4 linked regions of the Caenorhabditis elegans genome follow. The protein of the gene in region 1 interacts with the protein of each later gene in a pairwise test. Each region holds a gene or a part of one and is shown in the gene's direction. Other genes may lie near its edges. The genes, in order: reps-1, T05F1.4, ain-2 and dbd-8.

Evidence for each region.
Region 2: the proteins of reps-1 (region 1) and T05F1.4 interact in a two-hybrid assay, tested with the Caenorhabditis elegans proteins (one large-scale study listed by BioGRID).
Region 3: the proteins of reps-1 (region 1) and ain-2 interact in a two-hybrid assay, tested with the Caenorhabditis elegans proteins (one large-scale study listed by BioGRID).
Region 4: the proteins of reps-1 (region 1) and dbd-8 interact in a two-hybrid assay, tested with the Caenorhabditis elegans proteins (one large-scale study listed by BioGRID).

The regions. Positions count from the first base shown.
Region 1 is NC_003283.11:18,985,468-18,992,465, reverse strand, and holds reps-1 (REPS (RalBP1-associated Eps domain-containing protein) homolog), read left to right. Parts: upstream 1-1,965; 5' UTR 1,966-2,097; coding exon 2,098-2,203; intron 2,204-3,136; coding exon 3,137-3,552; intron 3,553-3,652; coding exon 3,653-3,764; intron 3,765-4,633; coding exon 4,634-4,852; intron 4,853-4,979; coding exon 4,980-5,038; intron 5,039-5,481; coding exon 5,482-5,802; 3' UTR 5,803-6,492; downstream 6,493-6,998. Other genes in the region: Y39B6A.37 (Structural protein), read right to left, coding at 1,061-1,608; mrps-35 (Small ribosomal subunit protein mS35 mitochondrial conserved domain-containing protein), read right to left, coding at 6,851-6,998.
Region 2 is NC_003279.8:9,629,486-9,632,902, forward strand, and holds T05F1.4 (NAM-associated domain-containing protein), read left to right. Parts: upstream 1-1,902; 5' UTR 1,903-1,910; coding exon 1,911-2,050; intron 2,051-2,095; coding exon 2,096-2,241; intron 2,242-2,289; coding exon 2,290-2,478; intron 2,479-2,523; coding exon 2,524-2,630; intron 2,631-2,680; coding exon 2,681-2,710; 3' UTR 2,711-2,916; downstream 2,917-3,417. Other genes in the region: Protein hsr-9, read left to right, coding at 1-103, 150-364, 458-743, 790-873.
Region 3 is NC_003279.8:4,651,638-4,659,563, forward strand, and holds ain-2 (ALG-1), read left to right. Parts: upstream 1-1,889; coding exon 1,890-1,905; intron 1,906-1,960; coding exon 1,961-2,049; intron 2,050-3,705; exon of another isoform or gene 3,706-3,711; coding exon 3,712-3,859; intron 3,860-4,083; coding exon 4,084-4,821; intron 4,822-4,873; coding exon 4,874-5,143; intron 5,144-5,568; coding exon 5,569-5,850; intron 5,851-6,301; coding exon 6,302-6,618; intron 6,619-7,047; coding exon 7,048-7,125; intron 7,126-7,371; coding exon 7,372-7,680; downstream 7,681-7,926. Other genes in the region: ptps-1 (Putative 6-pyruvoyl tetrahydrobiopterin synthase), read right to left, coding at 549-686, 933-1,064, 1,117-1,269.
Region 4 is NC_003280.10:13,106,338-13,110,680, forward strand, and holds dbd-8 (DB domain-containing protein), read left to right. Parts: upstream 1-1,681; 5' UTR 1,682-1,685; coding exon 1,686-1,868; intron 1,869-1,918; coding exon 1,919-2,041; intron 2,042-2,085; coding exon 2,086-3,168; intron 3,169-3,215; coding exon 3,216-3,350; intron 3,351-3,401; coding exon 3,402-3,656; 3' UTR 3,657-3,832; downstream 3,833-4,343. Other genes in the region: rict-1 (RICTOR_N domain-containing protein), read right to left, coding at 3,850-3,986.

The DNA.
Region 1 (6,998 bases):
CCAAAATTGAATTAGCAGCGCCCAAAACTTGTAGTTTGTAGTCTAAGCAGCGCCCAAAATTGAATTAGCAGCGCCCAAAAGTTGTAGTTTGTAGTGTTAGCAGCGCCCAAAACTTGTAGTTTGTAGTCTAAGCAGCGCCCAAAATTGAATTAGCAGCGCCCAAAACTTGTAGTTTGTAGTCTAAGCAGCGCCCAAAAGTTGTAGTTTGTAGTTTAGCAGCGCCCAAAATTTGTAGTTTGTAGTGTTAGCAGCGCCCAAAACTTGTAATTTGTAGTCTAAGCAGCGCCCAAAACTTGTAGTTTGTAGTCTAAGCAGCGCCCAAAATTGAATTAGCAGCGCCCAAAAGTTGTAGTTTGTAGTTTAGCAGCGCCCAAAATTGAATTAGCAGCGCCCAAAAGTTGTAGTTTGTAGTGTTAGCAGCGCCCAAAACTTGTAGTTTGTAGTTTAGCAGCGCGTAAAATTGAATTAGCAGCGCCCAAAAGTTGTAGTTTGTAGTTTAGCAGCGCCCAAAATTGAATTAGCAGCGCCCAAAAGTTGTAGTTTGTAGTGTTAGCAGCGCCCAAAACTTGTAGTTTGTAGTTTAGCAGCGCGTAAAATTGAATTAGCAGCGCCCAAAAGTTGTAGTTTGTAGTTTAGCAGCGCCCAAAACTTGTAGTTTGTAGTCTAAGCAGCGCCCAAAATTGAATTAGCAGCGCCCAAAACTTGTAGTTTGTAGTCTAAGCAGCGCCCAAAATTTGTAGTTTGTAGTGTTAGCAGCGCCCAAAACTTGTAGTTTGTAGTCTAAGCAGCGCCCAAAACTTGTAGTTTGTATTCTAAGCAGCGCCCAAAATTGAATTAGCAGCGCCCAAAACTTGTAGTTTGTAGTTTAGCAGCGCCCAAAATCACATTTTCGCTCAAAATTAACCAAAATTGCCGGTTTTTTCGCATTTTTCGACGGAATTTTCTGTTTAATTCGTTAAAATTTGGGAATTTTTATGATTTTTCAGCGGAAATCGCTTGAGCAGCGCCCAAAACTTGTAGTTTGTAGTTTCCACGTGGGGCTCAATTCCTCGAAACTTACACAAATTCGCCAGTTTTGAAGCTTTTCGTGTCATTTTTATCGTGAAATTCGACATTTGTGGGTTTCAGCGCCTTATCAACATAAAATTCACTGTCCAATCCATACAAAAGCTGTCCTTTATCACTAATATCATCACTTTCTCGCCGTTCCAGCAGCTCTTGCGGTGCTTCATCATCATCATCATCAGTCGGTGGATCCGAATCGAATCCGCTGCTTTCCCCGCCGCCGGCTTCTCGATTTTCAGCCGGCGGTAGATCACCGGATTCACTGCTCGCCGAGCTGTCTGGAGCCCCCCCGGCGGCCGAAATTCCGACGCCATTGTACTCGACGCCATATCCAACGTACCAGCCGTCTTCTAAATTCGAATTATCAATCGAAAAAGTGTCGATTTGAAGGATTTCGCAGGGTTTTGTGGATTTTTGAGCATTTTCGTGCTGTTCCATCGTTAATCCTTGCTTCCCGAGCGCATTTTTCAGCGTTTTCAGCTCTCTTTTTGTGAGATTTCGGGCTTTTTCAGGAATCTGCGGGATTTCGGACGATTGGGGCATCAGAACCTGGAAAAAATAATTGTTATGCTGTTAAAATCGAATTTTGGGGCAAAAAAAACCTTAAAAATACGATTTTCCGGCTGAATTTCATTATTTTTCGCAAAAATTTCAGATTTAGCTCGAAAATCGGTTGAATCTTGCCGATATTTGATAGTTTTCACCCGTAAAAACCCCGAAATCCATGAAAAACCACTTTAAAACTGAAAAACAAATTATACAACTAGGAAATGGATATTTTTCAGCGTTTTAGGTGTATGAATAGGAGATTTTAACGCTTTTTTAATTAATTTTTGCTTTAAAAAACTGATTTTTACCCAAAAAATCTGTGAAAATTGAGTTTTTCAGCTGAAACATCGTTTCAAAACGAAAAAATAAATTTGCCGGCACGAGAATCGCGCCAGTCAACCCCCTTTGCGCATCTCCAGTGCGCTGGCGCATTTCTCGTGCACCAACTATTTTATTTGCTTTTCCGCGAAAAAATCAATTTCCATGACAGAAAACGACAAAAAATCGCAATATTTTTCGAATGGAGACTTTGAAAAAGTCGCTGCCGATATTATTAGTAGTCCGAGACGTCTGAAGCACACGAGTCCAGGTGATTATTTTGAAAAATAAAGAATTTCAGCTCGAAATCGGCAAATTTGATGCAAAAACGTGGAAATTAAGCTGAAAAACGGTGAAAAATCCAGAAAAATTAGGAAAAAGTGCAAAATTATCCTCAAAAATGAGTAGTTTTAATGAAAATATAACCTTTTTCGATTTTTCTCAAATTTTTTCGCATTTTTGAAGAGATTTCCGCTATAAAACAGATGAAACTAATTTAAAAAAACCACTTTTGAAGGTTTTTGAGTGAATTTTTTGGGCGCTGCTTAGACTACAAACTACACAATTTTAGGCGCTGCTAATTCAATTTTGGGCGCTGCTAAACTACAAACTACAAGATATTGGTCGCTGCTAAACTACAAACTACACAATTTTGGGCGCTGCTAAACTACAAACTACAAGATTTTGGGCGCTGCTAAACTACAAACTACACAATTTTGGGCGCTGCTAAAGCTACAAACTACACAATTTTGGGCGCTGCTAAACTACAAACTACAAGATATTGGTCGCTGCTAAACTACAAACTACACAATTTTGGGCGCTGCTAAACTACAAACTACACAATTTTGGGCGCTGCTAAACTACAAACTACACAATTTTGGGCGCTGCTAAACTACAAACTACACAATTTTGGGCGCTGCTAAACTACAAACTACAAGTTTGGGCGCTGCTAATTCAATTTTGGGCGCTGCTAAACTACAAACTACAAGATTTTGGGCGCTGCTAAAGCTACAAACTACACAATTTTGGGCGCTGCTAAAGCTACAAACTACACAATTTTGGACGCTGCTTTTCCGTTTAGCGGCGCCAAAATCGATTTTTTCTATTTTTAAGCACATTTTCTCAGGGAAAATTGCAAAAATCGAAATTATTTCGGTTTTAAAGCTAAAAAACTCGAAAAAATCCAAATTTCCCCAATTTTCAGCCGATTCCAACGCGGATTCTCTCTTCAAAATCACTGAAAAACAGCAGGAATACTACACAAAATGCTTCCGTCACTTAATAAAAACCACTCAAGGCGCCGCAGACCTCTGCGGAGCCCTTTGCGGAGCCGATCAACGAATTGTAGCGTTTTTCAAGAGAAGCTCGCTGGATATGAGCTCTTTATCGAAAATCTGGTCGCTGGCCGATGTGAATGAAGACGGATGGTTGGATTTAAACGAATTCTCGATTGCGATGCATTTAGTAGTGTTGAAAGTGAAAGGAGAAGTTCCGATTCCTGATGTGCTACCCGGTTTCGCGCGGCCACCACTTACAGAGCCACGGGCTCCGTCTACAGTTGCGGCGACGCCTAGTCCCGCCGGTGCAGGACATGTAGAAGCTGATGGGCCAGTGAAAAATGTGGGGGTTTTTGAAATAATTTAATTGACTTTTGAATATGTATCATCATTCAAAACATTAACGACGTTTTTTTTTTAATTTCGAATTTTTCCAATTCCAGTGGGCAAACCAGCCAATCATCAAACAATTCTCGGATACACCGCCATTATTAGTGGACAGTAGGCCAACAGCTATCAAGCATTCTGCATTGTTAGCACTTAAGAGTCCACTGGGTAAGTTTGGATTCATTGAAGAAATTGTTGTAGTGTTTATTATACTTCTCAAATGTGTGAACACAATATAAAAAGTTTAAATTATTGACTAATAATAATTTATTCGAAAAATTGCTAGTTGAATAGCAGTCATACTACAAAAACTACAATAGTTTTCGATTCAAATGTTTTAGAAAACCTAGTTTTCTAATCAGTAACATAGTTATTTATATACTGACTAAGTAACTAATTATTTAATTAATAACTATTTAAGTACGTTTTTAATTCGTGACTTAGTTAGTAATTAAAATACTTACTGAGTTGCTAATTATATAACTTGGTAAGTAGTTAATTAGAAACTTAGTTATGAAATTACTAACTCAATACGAATTTAATTACTAACTTAGTGAGTATTTAATTAGTAACATAGTTATTTAATTTATAACTCAGGAAGTATTTAATTAGTGACTTAGTTAGTAATTAAATAACTAAGTAAGTATTTAATTACTAACCCTGTTAGTGTTAATTAGTAACAAAGTGAGTATTTAATCAGTAACGTAGTTATTTAATTTGTAACTAAGGAAGTATTAAATTGCTACTAAGTGAGTATTTAATTACTAACTAAGTGGGTATTTAATTAGTAACAGAGTGAGTTTTTAACTACTAATTTTCTTATTTAATCATCATCTAAATAAGTACTTAATTAGTAACTTAGTAATTAAATTACTAACTACGTAAGTATGTAGTTAGTAACTTAGTTATTTAATTACCTAAATAAGTATTAATAAGTATTAAGTATTAAGTAAGTTCATTAAAACACGCAACACTCAATATTTAGTAGTATTTGCAATCTAAGAGCAGCGCCCGAAATCAATAATCCATATTTTCAGGACCCCCACCAATTCCACCTGTCCGCCCACAACAACAACAACGTGGACACAACAGAAGTGCAAGTCTTGACTTGAAATTGATTGCATTGAATAAGACAAAAGCCTCGGCGGAATCCCAGCTACCACCAACTACCCTATCACTTTGGTCATCACATTCCGATCCGACAGCTCAATCGATTAGTACTACAACGACTACGACTACTTTTGCGTCTTTTCCTGGTATGAGACTGAAAAATTGGGCAGAAATTCGAAAAAAATTTTAAAAAAACTGGAATTTTTCAAAAAATATATTGCTTTCAATTTTCGAGAAAAAATCAAAATATTCCCAATTTCCGCAAATTTTCAGCCACCCCGGACAGTATTCCACCGCCGATTCCACAAAGAATCACACCGTCACCTCTACCGGTAAGTTAAGGGAAAGCTTTTAGTTGTAGTTTGTAGTCTTAGCAGCGCCCAAAGTTTGAAATTATTCGTTTTAACGAATTTTTAAGAAAAACTTTTCAAAATTGCGATAAAATCGAAAATTAGTGTAGTTTTTATTTTCTGAACAGGTTGAAAATCACAAAAATATGATTTTTAAACAATTTTTGGCTATTTTTTTGTGCGCTGCTATTTTTTTGGGCGCTGCTAATTTTTGGGCGCTGCTATTTTTTTGGGCGCTGCTAATTTCTTGGGCGCTGCTAATTTCTTGGGCGCTGCTAATTTCTTGGGCGGGCTGCTAAAAATTTACTTGTAGTTTGTAGTTTTAGCAGCGCCAAAATTCAAAAATACTCATTTTTAACCATTTTTCTTCAAATTTTTCAAATTTTTCACTGAAAAATCTCCAAAAATTCACAATATTTTTGCAGAGAGTCATCGAAGAGGAAAAACGAATTACCACAACAGATTCATCAACACAAACTACAGAATTACTCTATTCTGAGGAAGATGTGAAGAGCTTTTTCTCGAAAATCGGCCATCAAATCGACGATTTAATTGGAGAAGAGATTCAGGCAACTGATGGGCAAGGAATTGAACGATGGAAGGAACGTTGTACAGCTTTGAGGACTCAAAATTCGGAATTAGAAGCCGAAAGAGCACGGTTGGCTCAAGTACGGATTCAATTGGAAATACGAATTCAGGAATTTGAAGAGAGATCCAAAACTGCGTGCTCTTCTTCTACACTTTAATGATATCCCCGGTGGAGGAAAAATGGATGGGAAATTCGAATTTTTGAGGAAAAATAGGAAAAAAATAATTTTTTTCGGCTTGAAAAACTAGGAAATAACACATTTTATTTCGAATTTTCCGGAAAAAATTTTTTTTTTGGAAAAAACTCAATTTTTAGCTGGAAAAATAGAATTTTTAAAGATTTATTACGTTTGGTTAGGAAAATAACAAAAAAATTCGAAATGTATCAATTTCTATGGAAAATTATTTTTTCTGAAAATTTATTGATTTTTCTGAAAATTTATTGATTTTTCTGAAAATTTATCGATTTTTCTGAAAATTTATTGATTTTTCTGAAAATTTATCGATTTTTCTGAAAATTTATCGATTTCTATGGAAAATTTATTGATTTTTCTGGTTTTTCGCATTAAAAAACATGAAATTTGCCCATTTTAGAGCAAATTTTCAAAAATTTCTGAGAAAAAGGTATTTCCCGAAATTAAATTTAACTTCTAAAAAAGTTTTTAATTATTTTCTATCAAAAATTCGAATTTCCCACCAATTTCTCCCCCAGATTCCCCGCAAAAAACTAAAAAATCTGCATATTTCTTCATAATTTCTGTGATATGTCATATATATATTTCATTTTTACCTATGTTGTAATTTTTTAAAATAAGCATCAATTTTTCTATTTTCTGTGATAATTTAATCTATTACACTATCTTCTTTTTTTTTTTTGAAAAAAAAAATCATAAAGTATGTATTGATTTTTACACACATTAAAAATAACTATTTTTTAAAATTGGAAAATATATATATATAAATTTTTCCAAAAAAAAATGAAATAACATGAAAGATGGGAACTATCTAAAAAATTCGGACAAAAAAATTATTACAGATCCGGCTAAAAATTTGGAAAAAATTCCAAATTTTGACAGAATTTGAGGGATCTATTATAAAAACTGCTAGAATAACAAAAAAAAAACAAAAAATTTTCGAGAAAAAAAATTATTACACATTCGTGACGAATGTATAATAATCTTAGCAGAACTAAAAAAAAACAGTAAATTATTGTTGAATTCCGAGTAATTTCTTCATCTGACGACCGTATTCCCGCGTTTTTTCGACAGTTTCCTCGCTATTTCTATAGGCTTTCCACATTTCTCCGAATTCGTCAATCGATTTTTGATCTCCACATCCGGCGGCGCTGGGGCTT
Region 2 (3,417 bases), on another chromosome or scaffold:
GGCCAATCGTTCAAATTCTGCGAGTGTTCCTTCAATGTTCAAAAAGAAGAATCTGATGAACTTCATTACTCAGAATGGTGGGATCGTCACGGAGCAGCTTAATGTAAGATAACGTCTTACAAATAACATTCTAATCATTTTATTTTAAGAGCTTCCAAGAGCGTTACTCCAACTACGAACCATTGCTGATTTCTGATACGTACTATCGTACTCACAAGTACTTGGCAGCTTTAGCTCGTGGTGTTCCTTGTGTTAACAATACATGGTTACAAGCATGTGGTGAACAGGGGAAATGTGTCGACTATACGGACTATGTTCTTCCTGCAGGTGCTTCAATTTTTGACGAGTCTCAGGATATGCCAGCGTAAGTGAACTTTCATGATGAATGATTTCAATTCCGTTAGATTTTTGATTTTTATAACGATTCTGAAAATTCTGATCATCGAAAACATTTAAGGCCCAAAAATCCATCAGAGCTTTTGAAAGGAACAACAATTTATGTACACTCAACTCACTCAGCTCGTGAAGTAACACAAACTGGACCCGGAGGAACTTTCATCGAGATTTGGAAACCTATTCTTGAGCTTCTCGGTGCTGATGTAGTCGACGGAGACTGGGAAACTCTTGACGAAACAGGTCTCAAATTTGACGTTGTTTTAGTTGATGGAACTTTCCGTGACGAAGTCATGGAGTATGCAGATACTATTGGAGCAAGTAGAGTCACTTCCGAATGGGTTATCCAAGTGAGATTCCGTTTTCCTCGTCGTTTAATTGTTATACATTTTTCAGACAATAATTCTTGGCAAAGCTCCTGAGCCAAATGCTCATCCAAAATTCGATCCATACCGTCTGCATCACCGCACGCGTCATTGAATATCATCTCATCTCACCCCCTTTCCCCATTTCCCTTCTCATTTTGTACACTACGTTTTTATATCAACTTTTTAAATAACTATTCTACTTTCCCTACCGTGCTCCATCCGCTGAAATATCGTCGATCTCTTACTCGAAAATTTACCCGCTCAGTGTGCTGGTCAACAAGCGGTGACATTGTATGCGTATTCATTAACCATTTTTTGTGAATTTTTGAGCTCTTCCCAATTTATTATTATAGAACTGCATTTTCTAAGCCCCTGTTTTGAAGCTCTTCCATCTTTTTTAAATCACGATCATCATTCCTTTCCCAGTTACTTCTGCAACGTATTTATTATAATTTATTCGAAAGCTTCTGAGAACTTTTTAACTATTCCTTTTTGCATCAAAGAGTAACCTAACATAGTGTTTTACTAACCTACAGTACATTCATATGAACACCTTTTGTTGCTTATTCTGAAATGAAAAAATGAACTGTACCAATAACGTTGTCAATTTTCTTGATTTGGCAGCATTAGTTTCAAACAATTAACAATATTTCAAACAGTTCGTTTTCTCTGAAATTTAATGCATTCCCAATTGAGCTCTTTAAATTAATAATTGAGAAACGGGAAAACTACACTCAAAATAATAAAACTGCGTGGCGTGTACTGCAGAAAACCTCATATTTAGGCCCCGCCTTTTTCTTGTCCACTCACGGAGAAAAGGCGGGGCCTAAATATGAGGTTTTCTGCAGTACACGCCACGCAGTTTTCTTATTTTGAGTGTACTCAACATCATGAATTATAAAAAAAAATATCGCTTGAAATATTCGAACTTTTGATTTCTACTTCCCATCAATAAAGGCCCATCAATAAAATTTAAAAAAAAAACATTTAATACATTGTTCGGAAATAACGACAGCCACAAATTCCGCTTTCTGAGCGAAAAAATATAAAATAAACAGTTTTATTCGATTCTTTGTATAAAACAACTATTTTTCCTCTTGTTTAAATAACATGCTTTTAAAAATTCTAAAATTGTTTTCAGCAAGAAAAATGTCCGGCGGGGGCATCATTCCACGCGGAGGTGGTTATTCAAAAAGACGCGGAAGAGGAAGACGAGGTGGTGGAAATGGTGGATTCCGTGATGATATTAGAGATAATCAATCAGATCGACACTTGAGTCCAGACAGAAGGTAAACTAATAAAATTAATTTTATCCATCAATTTCTGGATTTTAGATCAAATCACAGCGAGGATCGTCATGAACATCGTTTCAACAACTATCGCCAACAAAATCGGCCGAATAGTCGTACTCCAAGTCCATCCAATCATAATCAAGTTCAAACATACCGTAATAATCCGTTTGATGCACGTCCTGCTTTATGTTAGTTATTGATTCGATTATTATTAATCTTAAATGTTCTATATTCAGCATCGAATGATCGAGACCAAGGCCGTAACCGGTTTTCCCCTCCATCTTTCAGACGAGATGGAAGGGATAGTGATCGGAATGGATACCATGAGAAAGAAGAAGAGCCAACAAGAGGAAGCCGTAATGATTTACGAACTATTTTGAAACCAACAGACAAAGAAGCAGCTAGAACGTGGAAATTAAGAATCGGTATGAGCAACGAATTTTGCACTGAAAATGCTTTACCAATTACAGCTGACGCCGAAGAAGCTATCCGACGGGCCGAGTTTCAGTTACGCAGGGCAAAAATGGACCACGAGGCTCTTCTAGAAGCATATAAAGAGTACACGGAAACAACATGCGTAAGAAGACAAAAAAAAAATAGAAAATTAACTAATAATTAAATTTTCAGCCACAAGAACTTCTCAAGCCGAACTGGTAACTTCTGATAGCCAATATCCATCCCTCCAGCTGCCGAATCCTAATAATACAACCAAATCATGTCACATTGTCGCTTTAGAGATATTTTCTCATTATGTATTCAAACTATCAGATAGTTTTATTTTATATCTTTATAATATTTTTATTTTTTCTCAGAATCAATATGGATTTTCATGATTTTCAACACAATAAATGAAATTTATTGTTTTTTCTTCTTGTTCATTGTAATCCCATCAAAGATTCATTCGTGTTTTTGAAATTTCCTTCTGCAATTCTTTAGTTTCACGATTTCTCGTCTGGATATGGGCGGAGTCTACATTGGGGTATTGTATTTTGAGCGATCATATGAAACTATTTTTGAAACATCTAAATGGTTTTACCCAAACACGAAGTTTTGCGATTTCAGCGCCAGAAATACAGTACCCGGTATCGACACGATTTTTTTTTGTATGATAAAACGGGTGTGCGCCTTTGAAGAGTACTGTAATTTCAAAACTTCGTTGGTATGTAAGTACGGAAACCGTCTATTTCTTTAAAAAAAACAAGTTTGAACTCATACATTCTAACAAACCGTGAGCAAAACTACAGTACAGCACGAAAGTTTGCAATTACAGTACTCTTTAATTAAATCTTTAAAGGTGCATAACCGTTTGTATAACAGAAAAATGTCGTGTCGAGACCGGGTACCGTATTTATTGCGCAAAAACA
Region 3 (7,926 bases), on another chromosome or scaffold:
ATATGAGAGTTCGGATTTGAAAAACTAATTCCACGTGTAATTTCAAATTTTCAATACAAGAGTTTGCAGTAATTTTAGGTGAAAATACAAAATTATAGTTTTCAAGTTTTCTAAAAATTCACATTTGAAAAAAATGACGAAAAAATGACGAAAAAGCTTGTGCAAATTTGGCTCCTTGTGTGTGTGTGTGTGTGTGGAAGGTGCGTATGAAATAGCACTCTAGTCACGAGAGACACAGATAATGAGTGGGGAGAAAGCCGAGGAATATAGTGGGGCAAAAGACGGCAAAAGAAGTGAAAAGGGGAAGTGTAGTGTGGCGGCGGAAAGAGGACAGTGGAATTGGAATAAACAGGGTTTTTGTAAATGTTGATGATCAGAATCTGCTGTTACAACAACACATATAGTTATTTTTTCCGGGCGTTTGTCGTCGACAGTTTCGAAACAATTAATCCGATTAAATCTAGACTTTTTTTGGAAACACGCTCTATTGCTAAAAGGCTTGAAAAATTGGTTTTATGGTTTTATTCAAAAACTATTTATTTCAGAAATTAACATCCTTTATAAGTGAAAATATTCTTGGGTGTCTCCTCAATTGTCACTTTATACAAAACCGATGGATTCGACATTACGGATTTCAGCTTCTCGAACATATAAATTGCCACGTTTTCAGATGTGCTCACAGTTGTCTGAAATTGGAAAAAAGTATTTATCTTGGTTTTGAAACGCGAAATTGCGGTCTTGGGTCCTTCCGAAATTTTTTATGATAACAAAAAAAATTTAATTTAGATTTTTTTCAATAGCAAAATTCTCGAATCTTTTAAACAAAAAACATTTAAACCATACTAGATGGTACTGTAGCTGAAAAGTTTCGCTCGTGCCAAGACCCACACTTTGAATAGCATTTTTAATGACGCATAATCTGTCTACAGTACCTTAAAAAATTCCACGTCTTTATCCAAATTCCTGTGATCTACCGTATCCAGCACTAAACTCATTTCTTTTTTCAGCTTTGCCAGGTCATACACCATTCCACTCGTCGGATCAACTTCTCCGCGGAGCTTTACCTGAAATTTTTCGAAATTATTTTTATTTTATTAAAAAATAAAATTTTTAAACCTTCCAAACATAATTATGTCCATGACCATTTGAATTATTGCATTTTCCAAAAGTTTCCTTATTTTCAGCGTCGCTCAGCTTTTCAGAGTGAAGACGATGTGCTGCGGAGAACGAATCGACTCGTTCCATAGTTACAATTGGCATTCTGAACATTCAAATAATTTATTTTATTAAAAAAAAGAAAAAAATGGAGAAAAATGGAAGAATTATGTGTGTTCAACGAATAATTTATATACTGGCGCTGGTGTTTGCAAATAATTGATTACAATTATGATATGATTGTCATCGTCTCTCTTTTCAACTAATCATCTTATTACGACAGCAGGATTATAGTTTCTGCATCAAAATACGCAATAATTTCAAGCGAAGGATTACTGTAGTCGTGTTAAAATTTTATATTCGGAGAATTTTGAAATTTTAAATAGAAAAAATAGTGCAAAATATTTATTTTCAATTTTAATTAGGTGATTTCAAAACAATGGACTGATATTTATTAAGTTTTCACTCAAAAAGCAAATTTCTGTGCCTGTAAACTTTTTCAAATCGAGGCATGCGCCTTTAAAAACTACAGTAACCCTTGTCCGCGAAAATTCGAAATCAAATTCATATTTCATCATTTTCACTCATTCTTCTTCGTTTTTGTGCATTTTTTTTCCGAATTTTCGATCAAAATTTTGATTTTAAACATTATTTTTAAACATTCCGTATCTTATTTTCAGAAAAATCACAGCAAGACGCGAAAAAAACAAATTTTAAAAGAGTTTTGCGTGGAAATGCACGGATATCAAGGTATTTCGTCAATATATTTTCGCTCAATTAATTCTAAACAATAATTATTTTTCAGGCAATGATCCGAATTATCGGCGGCAACCTCCCTATCGCCAATTACACGTTGATACACGATCTCCGTCGAGTTACTCTCAACAATATGTTGTGAGTGAAATTTTAAAAAAATCAATTTAAAGTCATCATTAACATGAAGAAACTGTTGATTGGGCACAAGTTAATAAAAAATAACTAAGAAAACCAGAAGATGACGTCATCTGACCGTTCTCCGCACTTTTCATGGTCAATCTCCGATATCAAGAATTCTCATCTCATAATGTCTGCCGTCTCTTCAAAAATCTACATTATCTCATACATTGTCCTCCTAGAAGGTGTCGTTGTGGAGGGAGGGGAAAACGAGGGCGCCCATATTGTCGGGCGCTCCTTGAATAAAAAATGTACGTTTTTTTGTGCAGACTCTCCACGCTTTGCTTCTCCTTTTTCTTCATATTGTACATATATACGTATATTTAATGCACAATGTCTCTGCGTCTTGGTGCCCTTCGTCGTTTTTTTTTTCGCTGGAAACCACCCCAGGAACCGCCACCGCCACACCACTACACCGCCCGTCTTCTTGTTCATGTCTCTGCGTCTCGTGTTTCTTTCTCTCTCGCAACGAACTCTCTATCGATTGGTCATGTCGACCTCCGTCCGTGTCCTCCGACTTGGGGTCCACTTTTTGTCTGCGTCGCGTATTCTAGCGTACTGTGTCACTGACACTCTTTGTTTCTTATTCCTCCACGTCTCGATCAGTGACAGGGACTCTTGTAGTTTTGGAATTTGATTTTTTTTAATTCTCGGATTTACGAAATTTTTCGTTGATGTTTTTGTTTGAATTCGAAAACTCCACTCAAAAAACTATTTTTTTCTATTTTGCAACTAAAAAACGGCCAAATTATTTTGAATAACCAATAGGTTCCACCATTTTGGCATACAGTTTTTCATTGTTTCGCAATTTGAAGCATTATGCGTCACATTTTCAGATTTGTTTTCTGTAAAGTATTAAATTATTGATTTTTCCGCCAATTTTAGAATTTCGGCGAAATTTTGCCGGGTTATTAAGTTTAGATATCTAAAAATGTGGCGAAAGGTGTTTCAAATTAGTGATATAACAAAGAACAACCAATTAATACACGATCGTTTTTTGTTGCAAAATTGCAACAAAAAAAATCTAAGCACGCATATTCGGTAATTTCGGACAAAAACTCCGCAGATACTACTCCACCTAAGATTTTCGTAGAATTTCCGAGGTTTTATAATCTAAATTATGCACTTTCCAACTTATCATTAGAGCGTCATTTCTTCGTATCGCTTGGCTTAATGTATATATATAGTCCGAACCGTGGTACAAGACCGGACTATTCTCAGAGAGACCCGTTCTCGTATACATTTTCCATTTCTATCCTTAACTATATATCCCTTTCCGAGAAGATTTCTACTAGAGAAAGCCTGTTTTACGATGTTACTCTGGGTTTCACCTGCTTTTCAGCTTCAGGGCTAAAAAACCAACCGAAAAAAAATTGGCTGAAAAGCTTAAAAATTAAAATATTATGTTTTTTTAAGTGCTCCAGAAAATTACCGTACCCCTACCTTTGCTCAAAAAATTCGATTTATCGGCCTTCCAAGTTTTGAAGTATCATATCTTTTGGTTTCTTGCTCTTTTGATTCTCTGCTTGAAGCTCCGAATCTCTTAGACGCGGAAGTAATGTCAATTTCTTTGCACCAATTTTTTATTGGATTCTGTTCCATAAAACTCATAACATTTTTCAGCCATACGAGGCGGATCCGGGTATGAACGGGGACGGTTGGCAAGGACCTGGGCGTGGAGGACCACATCACATGAATGGTGGCGGAGGAGGACGACGTGGTGGAGGTGGTGGTATGCACAATCAAAGAATACAACAGAATCCCCATCATGGTAAGATTTGATTCGTTTTTTGGGTGACTAGAAATTATTTAAGAAATTATTTTAAAATTATTAAAGAAATAAATTTGCTGCTATTTAGAATTTCAAATTATATGAAAACTAATTTTCAATATCATCAAATCAGCAAGTCTGTAAAATTCGGCACCTGTAGCGATTACTGAGATTTAAAAAAATGATTTAAAAATTGATTCAAAATTCAAACTTCTATTTTTCAGGTGGAATGAATCGTATGATGCCACACGGATTCCGACCACAACAAGGACAATTTATGCCTCAATATCCTCCACCACCACCAATGGGTGGAATGCCTGATGTGATGGATATTAATATGCGAATGGATGGTATGTCATTAGGATCGACACCATCAGGAATTCCTGGACAATATGGTGATATGGGTCCACCGCCAGTCCAACAATGGAATCAACCTGCTCCATTTGTACCTCCACCTCAACAAGACGATCTCTATGATCCTTCGGGATATGGTGGTGGAGCTGGTGGTGGTGGAGGACATCATCCATCTCATATGCCACCATATGGACAACGTGGAAATAATCAGAATCAATACGGGAATCGAATGCAAGGAGGTCAAGGTGGTTATCGAGGGAATCAACAGAGGCAGCAGCAGCAACAGCCTCAACAGGGATTCAATATGCCACCAATGATGGTTCCACCTGGTCAGCCTCCATTTTATGGTGGAAATCAACCGAATCATCATCATCAACAACCCTCATTTGCTCCGTCGCCATTCTCAATGGGTGGAGGTGGTGGAGGATCACAAGGAGGACCACACGAACAGCACGGACCAGGTGGAAATCAGAATGGAGGATTCGGAGTTTCATCATCATCAATGGATGATTATTCAATGTGGACTGATGAGAATGATGAAGACGCGAAAAAGAAAAAATCGTTGAGAGATAAGGGATTGAGTGGATGGGGTGATGCTGATGTATCAAGTAAGTTTTCTGAAAATTCTGAATATTAAATTCTTAATCTTCTTGCTTCCAGACAGTAAACCAATTCGCCGTTGGATTGTGCCAGAAGGCCAAGAAGAAGACTTTGAAACGGCAATGGAACGATGTCCAAGTCATTTGAAAAAGAAAGCATTGAATGAAGAAGCTCTTCGTCGACGTTTAACATCTGAAAATCCACAAATAGTGGCACAAGCTCAACAACAAGCCGAAGAAGAGGCGAATGCTATGATGAGGATTGGACGAAGACCCATTGTTCCCAGTGGATGGGGTGATATTCCATCTGAAATTAGTACTGACAAGAGTGGTTCGTTTTTTCTTTTTAATCCTACTTCCGTATTTGGTGGTAAAACCATTAATTTATTCGTTTAAAATTAATTATACCAATTTTTTTGTTGCGTTTTCCGTTTTTTTAAATATTTTTTTACATCGAAATTGATGATAAAATTCATAAACAAATGAAAAAAAAATCTTCATGTATTTTTTATGCATCAATTCAAGGTGAAAATTGTAAGAATTAGTAAAAACCATTAAAAACTCAACAAAAGGGACGAAAAATGTTTGAAAATTGGCGAAAATAATTGAAAACGATTTAATTTACGGTTTTGCCGCCAAATACTATTTAAAAACAGTTTTTCATTTTTATCCAAAAAATGTTTAACAAAATTGAAACATTATACGATTGGCATTTATAACGAGAAAAAATGCAATATTGTACTAAAGTTTCAAAAGATTCAGAATTCGATCAAAGCTCGTCACGTGGTTGGGATGAAGGAAGTATAAGCGGTGGTGGAAGTGGACGTCATCCATCTCATCATCAATCAAATGATAATTCAATGTGGAATAGTCCATCAGTTGGAGGAGGTCAATCAAATAGTGAAACACGTAATCCATTCTTTGCTCAACACATGCAACAGCAACAACATCAACAACAACATCAGCCACACTATGGAGGTTATGGTGATAATGGGGTGCTTGATGGTGGATCATTGTGGTCTGCTGCTGTCATGGATGGTTCGTACCAGAAAATAGAATTTAGGAATAGAATGGTTAGAGGAGGCGGAGCTCCGACTGCAACCCTGCCGCGCGTCTTTTATGTCGACAACCCAGAATTTATTTGTCTGCACGATTTCCCAGTTTCTGCTAAATTCTTGATCCTGGACTGTTTTCCTTCTGTATTAACCTAAAAAGCTAGTATTTCAAGTAAAAATCGATTAATTTATTTATGAAAACCCCATAATTACTGTTTCCCTTTTAAGTGGGAAATACAGAAAGAAATGAGGGAAACGGTCCAGAATACAAAATTTTAACAGAAACTGTAAAATCGCGCGTAGTCCACCGGAAATCGACATGAGATCTCATGTCGATTTACAGTGGACTGGAGCGGCGCCCCAAACTATAGCTTTTAGTTTCCCCGTAATTTTTTATTAATGAATATTATTTTTTAATGAATATTTTCTTGCAGGATCCTCAATGGTACCACCACATCCAACAATGGGTGTCGGATCATCAGCTTCATCGTCATCAATTCCAATTGGCATGTTGATGATGAGCGGCAGTGGAAATGTTGGAGGCGGACCACCATCCTCATCTTCATTGTTGGACGAGGATGGTAGCCAGAAGAAGCTGGCTGAAAATCTGAAATTAGCCGTTCAGAAGGGTCATTTGGATATTTCCCTACTCTCACTTCCGCACATTCCGCCCAACGTGCTCGACTTGCTCACCGAAATTTTGGCGGTCATTCCGCGTTTGGACGACTATGAGGATGAGCTCAAAAAATTGGTGTGTATTTTATTGGGATAATAATATTACACAGACGCAAAATATTGCGATTTTTGCGGGTCTCGCCACTACATATTTTGTTAAATTCACAAAGGTGTGCACCTTTAAAGAGTACTGTAGTTTCACATTTTCGTTACTGCGGATTTGGAATTAATTTTCCACAGTTTTTCTCACGATTTGTTAGTTTGAAAGATTTTTAGTTAATTGAAAAATCGAAGAAAATTCCGCAGTAAAGAAGGTTTTGAATCACGGTACTATTTATAGGCGCACATACTTTTGCATTGAGCACACATTTTTCGTGTCGAGACCGGGCACTGTATTTATTCTCAAAAAATCGCAAAATTCTGTGTCTATAGAATGGTGGTGAAGAGCTAAAAATTAAAAAAAACTAGAATGAAAAGAAACATATTTTTAAATTACTTTTTTAAGGGAGAAAATCGCCCTTCGAACTATGACGAGGGAGCCAGCAAAGAGGAGAAAGAATCGTGGATGAGCAAGGATCAAAAGGTAAACATTTTTGATGAAAAAGTACGGTACCAGGTCTCGAAGCGATCGAAAAATTTTCACGGAAAGAAGTGTGTACCATTAAAGAATACTGTAGTTGCTACGAATTCAGCATAATTTTCGATCGTTTCGAGACCTGCTACAGTATCTCAGAGCTAAAGATCGTAAATTTCCGAACCTGGGTTATCACAAAGAGTTTTTTAAAAGATTAGAGTTTAATGAATAAAAATAATAAAATAAAAATTACAGAACGATCACGACAAAGCAGTAATCGGAGTAGTGACTGCAAAGATCGAGGTGACACAATTATCTAAAAAGATCACCGAAGCTTTGATCGAAGCTGGGCTTCTTCCACCACAACCACAAACATCTACATCTGCAAATACATCTACCAATCATCTTAATCATAGAGGAGGACCACCGCCAGGATCCGATGGAGGAGCTGGTCCAAGTACTTCACGAAGTGGTGGAGGTGGTGCTGCTGGTGGAGACTCTTTTAATAGTAGTGGAGGTGGTGGACCACCTGATCATTATTATGATTATTCGTTCCTTGGTTAGATGCTGATTTATTCTTTTTTTTTAATCTGAAATCAAATATATAATTATTCAGTTCGTTCTTTTCTGCTGCTGTAAATTTAATTTTCTTCTTTTGAAAAAGTCTAGAATTTTTATGCCAAAATTTGCATTGCTTGTTAGTTTTTATTTTATTTATGACTCTTCTCGTATTCATCAATTTATTTTCATAATTTAACTTTTTAAAATCAATATGTGTTAGTTTGATCCCACCCTCTCCTGGTCCTGGTA
Region 4 (4,343 bases), on another chromosome or scaffold:
TCTCCAAGGCAGGTTTTTGTGTGTTGCCTTCACGCTTTCCCCGCCGACTATCCCGATTCACGGAGAGATCTCTAATTTCTGGAATTATGCAACAATAACATATGCGATGAATTGGCGGCAACGACGACGACGACGACGAAAAAAGAAGAAGCAGAAACGAAAAGGCAAAGAAGGAGGCGTGTTTCAATCCAAAAAGACACACACACACACACGGCTAAATGACATATAACATTGCGCAAAAAGCCGAGTCATACCATAGTTTTCTTCCCGATCCCCTCTTGCCATTTATTGCAGGAACATCTAGTTACCTACATTTTTCCTTCATTTTTTAGTAGAAATTACAAAGTTAGCATCTTTAGATATCTATAATTTCTCAATTTCTTTCTCATCTCATCTTACCAGGAAAGATTGTTAGAAACACTAGAGAATGTCTGGATTTGGAGCTTCTATCATGTCTAACGATACATTCGAAGTACCGAAAATCAGAATTTTCCTGAAATGTTTTGAAATGAAAAATCTCAATTTTGGCAGGCCTCAACAAAACTATTTCGAAAAACCAACAAGCTACAGTAACCCTGACAGCTAAGACCTCCAATTTAACTTCACCAAGATTCACCTTCTTAATAAATCCTCTAGATTCCAAGATATTCCGTGTTTGTGTATACACATCTTCAAGTATATCGTTATATTCCATACATACCACACAAAAATGATCAATCAGGGAGGCATCAGAATCAATCTGGATGACTCGGAACGAGTTTCTGGCTATTCTCTCTCTCGCTCGGTCATCTCCTATTCTCCTTTTTTTGGCGATTGATTCTATTTTGTCTTCGATTCCCTTGATTCCCTTCGGCGGGGGCTTCTCGTAGTCCTCAACAGGTTATCAATGCCATTCGAATATATCCTATTACAATCTCTTTTCCCCCCTTTCCGGATTCGGTAATTTTTTGAACTTCCGTTTGACGTGCAGAATGTGATAAGAAAATATACATATGTAATTTTGTAGATACTAGAACAGTATTGTAATTTCTAGTTGTGCTGTTACTACTAAATAGCACTTCCATGTAGAATGTTCTTTCTTATTCAAAAGTAACTGACTAATTCCCAAATAAATCCTTCCTGCCGTTCTCCAATATGTCGCAATACTAGCCTTCGATCATCCGTCTAAATCTCCTCTCGGATAATTAAAAAGTGTTTCGTCACCGTTTCGCCTTGTAGCTGTCCGTAGCTGGTGGTCAGTCGGGCGCGCACCTCAAGAAGAGAAGAAGCAAGAAAAAGAAGGGAGAGAGAGAGAGAATAAGCTTGCCCATAAGAAGCCGGTTATTCGACGCGATCGGCGTCATCGCGAACGAGGCGAGGCATCTCTATGTATGTGAGGAGGGGAGAGGCTAGTCGCCGACCTCAAGATGGTGAAGCAAACATAGACGACCGCTTCATCTTTATCCAATCCACAATGTTCGCTGTTTGTTCAACATTCCGCAGCCGCTTCTTCTCCGGACCCGCGCGCTCCGTTCCCAAAGCCATTTATCCGGGAATCGAGTAGATGTGTCGGGAGAGACACCGCAATGTAGATTTCCTCCGTTTCAATCGCCTTCAAATAACTTTCACCTCCTTCTGAATTCTTTTCACTTTATTTTCCCTTCGACCCTTTTGACCGAATCAACTTTTTGAAACGTTTCAGACCGATGGCAATGTCGGTTTCGACGATACGTGCCATTTGTATTTTGCTGCTTCTATCAACGTATACATTGGCAGATCTTCCGTCATGTGCTCGTGCCAAATGTGTTCATTGTGCAGTTGACTTCATCGATAGAATGTGTCCAACAGCTTGTGCTGGATGCAAGACACAGCAGCACCAATCTATTCAGGTAGGGATTTTGGGTTACATTTTGCTTGAATTCGAATTCTGACATTTCAGGAAGTAAATGTACAGAGACCACCTCAGCCACCACCAGCGTTCAATAATCAGCCACAGTTCGCACAATCAGTGAATACTCGCCAGATCTCAAACGAGGGAGGGCCACAGGTTCAGAGACCACAGGTGGGATTTTGAATTGAAAAAAAAATTTATTAAAAAGTATTTAGGTTCAGCACCAGCAACAATTCCAGCAACAGGTTCAGGCTCAACATCAACAACAACAGCCACAATTCAACATCCCACTGCAGCCACATGCTCAGCCAGTTCAATTCGCTGCTCCAAACTATCAAGGAAACCAGATCCCGTACCCACAAGCACAGGCTCCAGCTCAAATTCAAACCGCCACTCTTGCTCCACTAGTCGAGGCACCAAAGGTCGCATCTTTCGATCCAAACTTGAGCCGTCAACCAGCCGATTTGGCACAGCCACTTCCAGAATACCAAACCGGGCAAGTACAGTACCCACAACAAGCCGCTCAAATTCCATTCGGCCAACAGCCACAGCAAGGATATGGGCAACAAGTTGATAATATTTTCAACCAACCGAATCCATTCCAACTCCCGACTCCACAACAAGGACAAGGACTATTCGGAGCTCCAGGAGCCGCTGGAGCCGCTGGAGCACAATCACAATCGCAGGCTGCAGCTTTCAATCCATTCCAACAATTCTTGCAGCCAAATGCAGCACTCGATCCATTCAACCTTTTCAACTTGAACGCTAATCCATTGACTGTTAACCAGCAAGGCATCAGCACTCTTCAGACCCAGCAGCAGCAATACGGACAGGTACAGCATCAGGGAAATTACAACAGTCAAAATTATAACCAACAACAACCGCAGCAACCACAAATCCCGCAACTTCCACAACAACAGCAGCAGTACAATCAGCAATACAATCAGCAGTTCAACCCACCATATCAGCAGTTCCAACAACCACAACAGCAGCAGTACAACCAACAGCAGCAGCAGCAGACACCACAACAAAACCAATACAATCAACAGCAACAATACGGACAGCAGCCACAGCAGCCCCAACAACCACACCAACAGCAGTACCAGAATCAGAACAACTATCTGCCACAGCCGCAGCAACCACAACTCCCAGTTGCTCCACAACAACAGGTACAGCAGCAACGTCCACAGCAGCCACTACCACAGCCAGCCGCTGCAGCTTCAGTTGACTCTAGACCAGTCAACTTTGAGAAGTATATCGATGCAGGAAAGGGAACTCCACTTGCTCCACCACCACAGGTAAAATATTTCCGCAATTGTGATCAGCTTAATATTTGTTCATTCAGGCCCAATGTCCACGCCAACCAGGATGGCAGCCATGCATCACTAAGGACACCGCCAATGATCGATTCCGCAACTGCTGTTCTCGTCTCGGAGAGGGATGTGCTCCACTTTGTAACTACGATGCTACCCTTGCTACTGTATGTCTCTATAATGATTTTTTTGCTATCTAGAACTGTTTTCCATTTCAGATGCAACTCGCTGTTCTCACTGGACGCTGTCCATTGGCTAAGGTCGGAGACGTGATGATCTGCGCTTCGGGCTACCAAGACGCATCCCAGTGTTGCGAGGCTTACGGAGTCTTCGAGCCAGGATACGAGCACTGCCGTCCATACTGTAACCCATCGGCCGGTCTTCCAGAAGGCGGACTTCTTACCGAGAAGTACAAGTGTCTCGTCAAACTGTCACACATTCAACAATGCTTCTTCGTCTCGCAGAAGCCATAAGGTGTCAACGGGTGATCCATATGTATTGCAATTTAAACCACATCAATAATAATAATTTTTCTCTCTTCTCACTCATTCCCTCATCTACAACTTTCCTGAATTCGTGCAATAGATTTCAAAAATTCAATTCTAAAATGTGGCACAGTGTGCCATCACAATAAATGATTTTAAATATTAAGAGAAAGAAGCTTACATGTGCAAAACTCCAGCATTCGTCAAAATCGATAATCCTTTACTCGTCATTGTGAACGTTCCGATTATGGCGAAATGAAGCATCGAGTTGGTGTAGGAAAGGTTGCGAGCAGCAAAGTAGGCATTCGGATTGGATCTCTGAAATATATTACACATTTTATAAATATATTTTAATAAATGTCTTCTATATTTTTGCAATCCTACGGCACGATGTCGATGGACAATTTTTAAAATTGGATATGTTTCAAGTAAAAATCGATGAATTAATTGTTGCAAAACAACAAATTAATAAAAAATAACATAAAAAATAAGAAATATTTTGTTACGTTTGAATGTTAGATACAAAAATAATCCGCAAAAATAGTCTCAAACCAGCGATTTCAGCTTTAAAAAACTGTAAAATCCCGCTTGTCCGTGTGTAGTACAAAACGCTTTGTAAATCGACATGTAAAAATCCTGATTTTGTACTACACGTGGAAAGCCGAAAACTTATTT